Linked DNA regions of Saccharomyces cerevisiae S288C. The protein of the gene in region 1 purifies or fractionates together with the protein of each later gene. This does not show direct contact. Each region holds a gene or a part of one and is shown on either strand. Other genes may lie near its edges.

The links.
Region 2: the proteins of EFG1 (region 1) and RPS31 purify together in Saccharomyces cerevisiae (affinity purification with mass spectrometry; 2 studies listed by BioGRID). This does not show direct contact.
Region 3: the proteins of EFG1 (region 1) and NSR1 purify together in Saccharomyces cerevisiae (affinity purification with mass spectrometry, with the first as the bait; 2 studies listed by BioGRID). This does not show direct contact.

Annotation. Positions count from the first base shown.
Region 1 is NC_001139.9:1,037,125-1,040,371, reverse strand, and holds EFG1 (Efg1p), read left to right. Parts: upstream 1-1,870; coding exon 1,871-2,572; downstream 2,573-3,247. Other genes in the region: TAF1 (histone acetyltransferase), read left to right, coding at 1-477; YGR273C (uncharacterized protein), read left to right, coding at 1,133-1,657; SLH1 (RNA helicase), read right to left, coding at 2,678-3,247. UniProt on the Saccharomyces cerevisiae protein: Involved in rRNA processing. Required growth at elevated temperatures, resistance to hydroxyurea and for cell cycle progression.
Region 2 is NC_001144.5:497,169-500,043, reverse strand, and holds RPS31 (ubiquitin-40S ribosomal protein eS31 RPS31 fusion protein), read right to left. Parts: upstream 1,098-2,875; coding exon 639-1,097; downstream 1-638. Other genes in the region: UPS2 (Ups2p), read left to right, coding at 1-466; exocyst subunit SEC10, read left to right, coding at 2,000-2,875.
Region 3 is NC_001139.9:805,764-809,445, forward strand, and holds NSR1 (Nsr1p), read right to left. Parts: upstream 1,894-3,682; coding exon 649-1,893; downstream 1-648. Other genes in the region: exosome non-catalytic core subunit MTR3, read right to left, coding at 1-258; RTS3 (Rts3p), read right to left, coding at 2,866-3,657. UniProt on the Saccharomyces cerevisiae protein: Involved in pre-rRNA processing. Specifically binds nuclear localization sequences. Candidate for a receptor at the nucleus that may be involved in both RNA and protein transport. Binds telomeric sequences of the type (TG[1-3])n in vitro.

The DNA.
Region 1 (3,247 bases):
AGAGATGATAAGAAAATTCTGAAGATTGTTAGAAAGAAAAGAGATGAAAATGGTATAATTCAAAGGCAGACAATTTTCATAAGAGATCCTAGGGTCATTCAAGGATATATAAAAATCAAAGAACAGGATAAAGAAGATGTTAACAAATTGTTAGAGGAGGACACTTCAAAGATAAATAACTTGGAAGAACTTGAGAAACAGAAAAAACTGTTGCAACTAGAATTAGCTAATTTGGAAAAATCACAGCAACGTAGAGCAGCAAGGCAAAATTCGAAGAGAAATGGTGGTGCCACGAGAACAGAAAACTCTGTGGATAATGGTAGCGACCTTGCCGGTGTAACTGACGGGAAAGCAGCCAGGAATAAAGGTAAGAACACTACAAGGAGATGTGCTACATGCGGACAAATCGGGCACATTAGAACAAATAAATCTTGTCCAATGTATAGCAGTAAAGATAACCCTGCTTCACCAAAGTAGATTCAGTATAACGATGTATTGATCGAATAAAACTTTTGTAAAGGTTTTGTATAATGTAACAATAAAGAAATGTACACTATGTTTCTAAACACTGGCAGTGATCAGATTGATAATTTATTGAGTCATATCCTTAAACGATGGACGTGGTGTGTGAATGTGCACTTTTGCAGTAAGATGAAAAGTGCATATTATTTGAGTTCCATTAATATAGCCCAACTCACTGATTAAACACAATAATTGTTGTCTTTGTGCTCGAGTATTTAAAGCTTGTATTTTTCCAGTCTGATTGGAAATCACAGAGGTTAAAACATAAAGGACAATAGCAGAAAAGGTTCCCTAATATGCATTTTTCATACTGGTTGCTCTTTTCCTTTACAAAAGCAAATTCTTACTCAAAATTTAATCTTTTTCCCTATAGTAACCTGTTTGTCTTGATAAATATAATATGATTTATGTAGTTTTATTACTATAATTATATCAAAATTTTAATTTGTGTCTATTTTTTCCTCAACTAAGTTACCTTTTTTCATTTATATGCATTTGTGACGCACTCAAAAGTGTGATGCTGTCGTCAATTTTATAATGTTAAGAATATTAAAGCAAAAGTTTCCTAAAGTAATATCTGAAGTGCTCTAAAATCATAGTTTATCAAAAAATGCAACATTTCGAAAGTTCAGATAAGATAGAAAAGGATGATGATACATCAAGAATTAAATTACGCTCTTCTTCTTTGGCCGCTCCAATCCTCGAGGCTGTTCAAGAAGCCCAGCCTTTTGAAGAAGCCACTTTCTCTAACTTACAGAAGATACATCCGTTAACAGAAAACTCAACTTGCAATGGTTATGTTATTTACGATAAAGATGGAAATTTGAAATCCATGAAGGATACATTTGGTAGGAATATAAAAACACCTGATATTTCAAATCCTACAAGAGCAAGAAATGAAAGGCCATTGGATACAATACGTGGATTTGAATACTCCATAACAAAAGATCCCCGCTGGTTGCAAGAGCTAGAAACATCTAAGTTGGGATTTAAACCTAGACCTGGATTTGCCGTCATTAATCAAGACTCACAGGCTTCAATAAATTTATCTCAACTGGAAGAAAAAGTTATGGAAAGCCAAAAAAAAAAGGAGAAAAGACACATATCACGGCTTTCTCGGTTACTCTGCAGATGAATATAAAGATAAGTACGCTAAGATTATAAAAAGTGCTTGAAGCTCAAAAATATGTATTCCTTTAATTTCTGCGGTACCCTATGCCGGAGCACTAAGAAAAACACATTCAAAAAAATTTTCATACTCATCTCATCTCTACAATTAAACAATACATAAAACAAATATCGTGACTTAGTTATTTTACTTATATCATTCAATAAACCTAATCAATCAATGGCTAAATTACAGAGGAAGAGAAGCAAGGCTCTTGGGTCATCTCTAGAGATGTCCCAGATAATGGATGCAGGAACAAACAAAATTAAAAGAAGAATAAGAGATTTAGAGAGGTTATTAAAAAAGAAGAAAGATATACTTCCATCCACAGTAATAATAGAAAAGGAAAGAAATTTGCAAGCTTTACGGTTGGAATTGCAGAATAATGAACTCAAGAATAAGATTAAAGCCAACGCTAAAAAATATCATATGGTGAGATTCTTTGAAAAAAAAAAAGCATTGAGAAAATATAACAGATTATTGAAGAAAATAAAAGAATCTGGCGCAGATGATAAAGATTTACAACAAAAGTTGAGAGCCACTAAAATTGAATTATGTTACGTGATAAATTTTCCCAAAACTGAAAAGTATATTGCACTATATCCGAATGATACACCATCTACAGACCCAAAGGGCGTAGAATTGACAAATCTTAGAAGAGAACAATTTCTTAAATTAGTAGCTGAAAGAATGGATGCGAACACCTTAAACGTATCTTTCGAAGAGATATTGAAGGGAAAGAAATTGGATGAAGATTCCATCGGATTAACATTATCACCTGATAAAGATCATGAGGATGGATCACAAGTATCACCTACACAGGATAGAAAAGAATTGGATCAAGTTGTGGGAGAAGATGAAAAGGATGACTTTTTTGAGTAAAAAAATTCTAAATGCGTTATGTAAGAAAATATATACGAAGATGTATACTAGATAGATTTCCACTGTTATCTTTCACAAAATAATTGTTGTTTTAATTGTGTCTCACTAAGAGATTAGTTTATGGACCATATCATAACGTAATCCTAAAGCGTCATTAATAAGGGAAAATTGCAATTCTTCGCCACGAATTTCTTCGGGAATAAATAGATCACAATGTATTATGACCTCTTTATTCATTTGTTTTGGTTGACACCTTTTAATCATCAGCAGTTCATCGCCTTTGTGTCCAATTAAAAACCATAGTTCTTTTTGTATCTTAGGGAATTTATCACAATATACTTCAAACCCATTATTATGCTTACTAGAAAGGTGCTTGCTATAAAATGTTAACACCTCGTTATTTTCCTGTTCTTCAAATTTCATGCCTTCTAAAACCGGTAATCTTTGGCAGACACTGACGAAACGTTTTTTCGTATCTTCGCTTTCTGTCATTCCAAAAGTTAGTTGATCAAAAACATTTAATAATTTCTTATATCCAAACCTTCCTATTTCCTCCAAGGTTAACAGCTTTTTCTTCTTTTGCTGCGGCGTCATTTCAATGAACCCCTGCTCGCTAAAAGTGTAATCTTTGATTCTTCTCAGTTGTAATCCTGGAAGTACACTAACAGGATCGTC
Region 2 (2,875 bases), on another chromosome or scaffold:
TCATGTCAGAGAAGTTTCTGTGGTAGACTTAAATAAAAAGAGCTTGACCATGAGAAGCTGTAATTTAACGATGTGCAATCTATTAAAAGTCTACGAAACTGTAACATATAGCCCGCATCCCGATGACTCGGCTAATAAAACACTTTTCCAGCAGGAAGCCCAAATTACAGCATATGGATCCATTAGAAAGCTGTGTAATAAGATGGAAGATTGGTCAGTTCAAAGGTTTTGCGAGAACGCTAAAAAGGGTAAAATGGGATTCGATGCTGTTTTGCAAGTATTTAGTGAAAATTGGGAAAAACATGTTGATGACTTGAGCAATCAACTTGTCAGTAAAGTCAATGAAACCATGGAGGATGTTAAAATATCTGCAGGTACGCTTCTTAAAGGAACTGAAAGGAGCGGCAGAACCATCTTACAGCAAAATATTGACTTGTTTAGAGACGCATACAACCACGAAAATTAGAGATACAAATTCCTTGATCCCGCATGGCACTGCATACTACTTATATTCCTCTACTGTCTATCTATTCATTTGTTCTTTTGTTGTAAATAGAAAAGTAAATAATGACAATATTAAAAGCCTTTTTCAAAATTTAACGATCAATTAAAATATATAAGTTTTAAAAATACTTTACTTAAGCGTTAACCTTGTAGACGGAATGACACTTACCACAGTACAATCTGTCCTTGTGGTTAGCCAAGAAAACACCAGCACCACAAGTTGGGTTGCTACATTCTCTTCTCAATTTGGTAACCTTACCTTCAGCATCGACCTTGTAGTAGGACAAGACAGCCAACTTGACCTTCTTGTGCTTGTGCTTGATCTTCTTTGGGGTGGTGTAGACCTTCTTCTTTCTCTTCTTACCACCACCTCTCAATCTCAAGACCAAGTGTAGAGTAGATTCCTTTTGGATGTTGTAGTCGGACAAAGTTCTACCATCTTCCAATTGCTTACCAGCAAAGATCAATCTTTGTTGGTCAGGTGGAATACCTTCCTTGTCTTGGATCTTGGACTTGACATTGTCAATAGTGTCAGAAGATTCAACTTCCAGGGTAATAGTCTTACCGGTTAAAGTCTTGACGAAAATTTGCATCTTGGCTTGTCGGCAAAATTAAAAATTAACTGCTTCTTTCTTACCAAGTAATCTTGTGACTTCTTTGTATTGGAATAAAAGATAGAAGTAAGGAAGTTTCTGATATAACGAACATCTCAAAATATTTAAACCATTTAATAAGTCTAAAAGTATCTAGTTTTTCATTTTGATGAGTTCCCACCGCTTGAAAAAGTGCGCCCGGGCCAAAAAAAAAAGTTTGTACTAAAATAAATGATAAATGATAAACCCAATTCCTTACAGGATGCACGGAGGTAAACAGGAAAGATATCTCAAGAACTTCTCGTTCATTAACCCCAGGTAGATCGCACTAAAGACTTCACCACTATTGATAAAGGTTTTGTAGAATATTTATTATCGATACCTTGCGGTTGCAAATTAATATACCCATCAAATAATTAACCCCAACCAAGTTTAATTTCTCTCCTTTCAACAAATGGGGAGGCTCAAATGTTTTTACTTACTTGAAACACTCTTTTGATTTGCTACAAAATAATCAAGCAGCGATATTTAATATGAAATTCTACCTTTAAAATTACTCCTATGACTCCACATGCATGGGGGAGGGGTAAGATGCGCAGTCAAATCAGAGAGAAATGTTATGTAGCAAAGATAATGAGTGCGTCTGAATAAAACTAGAAGTTTCTTATATACACGACACCAGAGACGGTTTCCATGTATCTTCAAACATCCATATACGGCTAGTAACTCTTTTTTAAGGTATTTTTGTTTATCTGGGCTACTTATGTACGTATATGTAATTAATTATTTTGAGATTCCGAAAAACTAGAATGTCGACAGAAAACAAAATAAAGAACCGTTCATGCATTAAAGGGATATAGAAAATTGAGCAAATTTGCTTTGTCATCAAGTGGTGTTACAACATGAACTCATTATATGAACTCGATCCGAAATGGAAGAAACTATTGAAAACGGACAATTTCCTGGGCGGATTAACAGTCAATGAATTCGTTCAGGAATTGAGCAAAGACCATCGTAATGACGTGTTGATTGATGCAAACACGAAAAATCTTCCAACCAATGAAAAGGATCAGGATGCAATCAGAGAGGCTATTTGGAAACAATTAGATCCAAAACCTTACATTAGAACTTTTGAATCTACCTTAAAGGAACTAAAAAACTTAAATGAGGAAACACTAAATAAAAGACAGTATTTTTCCGAGCAAGTGGCTACTCAGGAAGTTATTCATTCGGAGAATGTGATAAAATTATCCAAGGATTTGCATACTACTTTACTTACATTCGACAAGCTAGATGATCGCTTGACAAATGTTACTCAAGTTGTTTCGCCATTGGGAGATAAATTAGAAACCGCAATCAAGAAAAAGCAAAACTATATTCAAAGTGTGGAATTGATTCGCAGGTACAATGACTTTTATTCCATGGGAAAATCAGATATTGTTGAACAATTAAGGCTGTCTAAAAACTGGAAATTAAACTTAAAGTCCGTGAAATTAATGAAGAATCTATTGATATTATCATCCAAACTAGAGACAAGTTCAATACCAAAAACAATAAACACAAAGCTGGTTATTGAAAAGTACTCTGAAATGATGGAAAATGAGCTGTTAGAGAATTTTAATTCTGCATATAGAGAGAATAATTTTACTAAATTAAATGAAATTGCCATCATTCTCAACAATTTTAATGGCGGTGTTAATGTCATTCAAAGCTTCATCAATCAGCACGATTATTTCATTGACACCAAGCAGATTGACTTGGAAAATGAATTTGAGAAT
Region 3 (3,682 bases), 230 kb from region 1:
GGATCCTCTAATGGAGCGTGGTCCATAGACAGCGGTAATGAGCGATGTTTGGTGTCCTAAGCTTCTAGCTTCTACTAATGCAGATCCATTGCAGTTTTCGATGAAACCGGTATGTAGAGAAAGTTCCTGTTCACTTTCATTGCCTTTAGGTGTCAAATCTGTTGATTTCTTTTCTGGCACATGAGTAGTAGTGTTGCTAAACGCCATTGGCTTGGCAGCAGCAGGGCCTAATAACCTCCTTCTGTCTTGAACATTCATTTATTCTGATAACACCTTAATGTGAGTATGTTCCTACTTTTAAGTGGAGTATGTGCTAATCCTTAAAGGAAGTTTTCGTGGCTCAATCAAGCACAACGCCCAAGCTTTTATTTAGATATTCATTTCATATTACTGAAATTTTTTGAGTATTTTCCAAGGCCTTGTAATCTTCCGTATCTAGCGATCTCATCTCATCGTGAAAAAAAAAAGAGTAAGCCATTCGAAGAAAAGTTGGCAAATAGAGATGGTGAATGAAAGGTTTAAGAATGTATCCTATTTACTTACTAATGTACACAAAATATTATAGACCAAATTTTTCCTCAAAAATGGAATATAGTAATTAACGTAAAAAGAGAAAAAATTGAAATTGAAATTCATTTCATTTTCTCATTAATCAAATGTTTTCTTTGAACCAGCGAAAGAAGCGGTATTTCTTGATCTGCCCAATGGAGCAGTATTAGCACCAGAACCAGATGGTCTGAAACCGCCACGGCCACCGCGAGCGCCACCACGACCACCGAATCCACGGTTACCGCCACGACCACCGCCACGACCACCAAAACCACGGCTACCGCCACGACCACCATCGTTGTTTGGTCTTGGAGAAGAGAAGTCTAATCTAACTGGTCTGTTGTCAATGTATTCACCTTGTAAAGCGTCTAGAGCCTTCTTGGCGTCCTCCATGTTGGAGAATTGAACATAACCGAAACCTTTTGGTTGTTCAGTTTCTGGATGTGTTGGGATACGGACGGAAACAACTTCACCGTGTTTAGCGAATAATTCGAAAATAGCGTCTCTGTCAGCATTGAAAGATAAGTTACCCAAGAACAAAGTGTCAGATGGTTCAGATGGGGTATCACCGAATTTCTTGGCACGATCGTTGTTACCAGCTGGCTTGCTTGTGGACATATCACAGTTGATTGGTCTACCATCAATTTCCTTACCTTGCATTTCTTGAATGGCCTTTTCAGCATAAGATTTGTTTTCAAAATCAACGTAACCATAACCACGAGATCTATCGGTACCTCTTTCATAAATAACTCTGGCACCAATGACACCACCGATGTGTTCGAATTCCTTCTTCAACCATTCGTCATCAATAGACCACGATAGTCTACCAACGAAAATAGTAGCTGGTTCTTCGGTTTCTTCATTTTTTTGCTTCTTGTTGGAAGACTCTTCGTCTTCTTCTTCTTCGGCGTCCTCAGATTTACGTTTCTTATCGTTAGACTCTTCCTTTTCGCTTTCGCTATCAGAAGATGAAGATGAGGATGAATCAGAGCTAGAAGATTCTTTTGATTCTTCCTTCTTGGTTTCTTCTTTTTCTTCTTCTTCTTCTTCGTCGGAAGAAGAGTCAGAGGAAGAGGAAGAGGAATCCTTGGATTCTTCCTTCTTGGTTTCAGCTTCACTTTCGCTGTCAGAAGACGATGAAGAAGAGGATTCAGAATCAGAGGATGAAGATGAAGATGAAGATTCAGATTCAGACTCAGACTCAGATTCAGATTCAGATGAAGATGAAGATGAGGATGAAGATTCGGAGGAAGAGGAAGAGACGGCCTTAGCTTTTTCTTCTTTGGCTTGTTTGGAAGCCTTAACTTCCTTCTTGTTACCTTTTACTTTAGTAGTCTTAGCCATCTTATTTTATCCTGCCTGGGTTGAGTGATCCGAAATTGGTTAACAGTTCGTCTTTGGGAAGCAAAAGTAAGAAAAATACTACGAAAGGAAATAACTTAAGGTACCAATGGATTGGGAAGTGCAGACAGCAACAGCTACACTTAAGTACTTTTAATATTGGATTGAAAATTTTCGTTCTTGCGATGAGCTGCCCTTGCAAATTTTTCACCAAAAAAAAAAAAAAAAAAAGAAATGGAGTGAAAAAAGAAACGAAAAAAAAGGGCATGGGGACCCATACATCAGGCACTTACCCCCAGGAAGGATTACGTCTTTAAATCAGAGGATCAAAGGGTAATTAACAACCACCAGTCGAATTGCTGTCGTCTTTCTTCAATTGCTTTATCCAAAAATCTGAATGGATGTAAGTATTGCCCAGTAAGTTTTCTTGGCAAAATAACCTATAGCGAAATAGACAATCAACGTGATGGGGTTTAAATAGCTAGCGGTAAGTAACCACTAGTAGAACGTAGCTCCATAGCGTGTAATTTGGCGGCAAAATATGTGAAGCAAGCATATTCGTTATTACTTAGCTGCCTGTGAAATCCTGTCTGTGCCTTCTCTTTGCCTTTACTTTGTATAAAAACATATCAACACTGTCTCTGCGTATGAGGCCGAGGTATTTAGAGCATAAGAAAAAATGTGAACAAAAATAGTGTCATCTCCAGTAAGGCTTAAATGTATATTGATTTTCTATATATATATATATATATATATATATTTATGAAATAAACCATATAATTATAAGTAGTAGCTTGGAAAAACGCCAAAGTTGTACTTAGAATGAGGTTTTAAAAAAAAATTATAAAAAAAAACCAAGCGAGAAGTCACGCTTATAACGCAAGTGCACGAACTGCATATGTGTTGGATTGCCAAAGATCAATAGGAAGAATATATTTAGAGAAACTCTGTTTTCTTATGTATCTCGCTTACAGCCTATTTCAATGAACCAGTTTGGAATCTCTTTGCCATGAGATCAGCCTTTAAAGAGTTTGAGCCATCGAGACTGTAATTGGAAGAACGCCTTCTCCTGTCATGAAGAAGAGCACCGGATTCGGTTAAATCGCTAGACGAAATGCCGCTTAGAGAACGTGGAAGAAGAGTGTGATGTGGAAGATCGGCGGAGGGAAGGTTTCTGTTTGTTGTTGGTGCTGAGTGGATTTTAGTCTCAATGGGGAAAATCGTGTCTGAGATGCTTGTTCCGTTAGATATGGAAGCGTTCCGGCTTGACCTTCTGGCGGAATGGGAAATGTGGGTCATGGAGTCCTTGGGTGTTAAGGGAAGTACGGTGTGTCTGGATGCACCATCTGTGAGCTTTAGCTTTGGAGTGTCGAGGGTGTAACCATAATTGCAGTCATCATCATCTAGGATGGCAGACTCGCCTTCGAAAAATGGAGACGACCTTCTAGCCGGGACCGGATGGTGCAGTTGATTTTTTAACCTAGAGTTTTCTTCTTTTAAAGTTTCAATTTCCCGTAGAAGTCTTACTACAATAGCGTCTTGCTCCTTTTCCATTTCGTTTATTATTTCTTCCCTCGAAAGCCTTCTCTGTGCTGACATTGGTGACGAAGAAGGAGACGACGACGTCGAAAGTCTGCGAGGATCACGTGCTACAGCTGGTCTCATGGCTCTTGTAACTGAAGTTTGTCTCTCTCTGCATGGTTTGGCAACAGCCTTCTTGTGTTTTGATTCTTTATTCATGTTTACGGCTCTGGAGGTAGCGATCATTATACTTTATCTTCTATTAATGCTA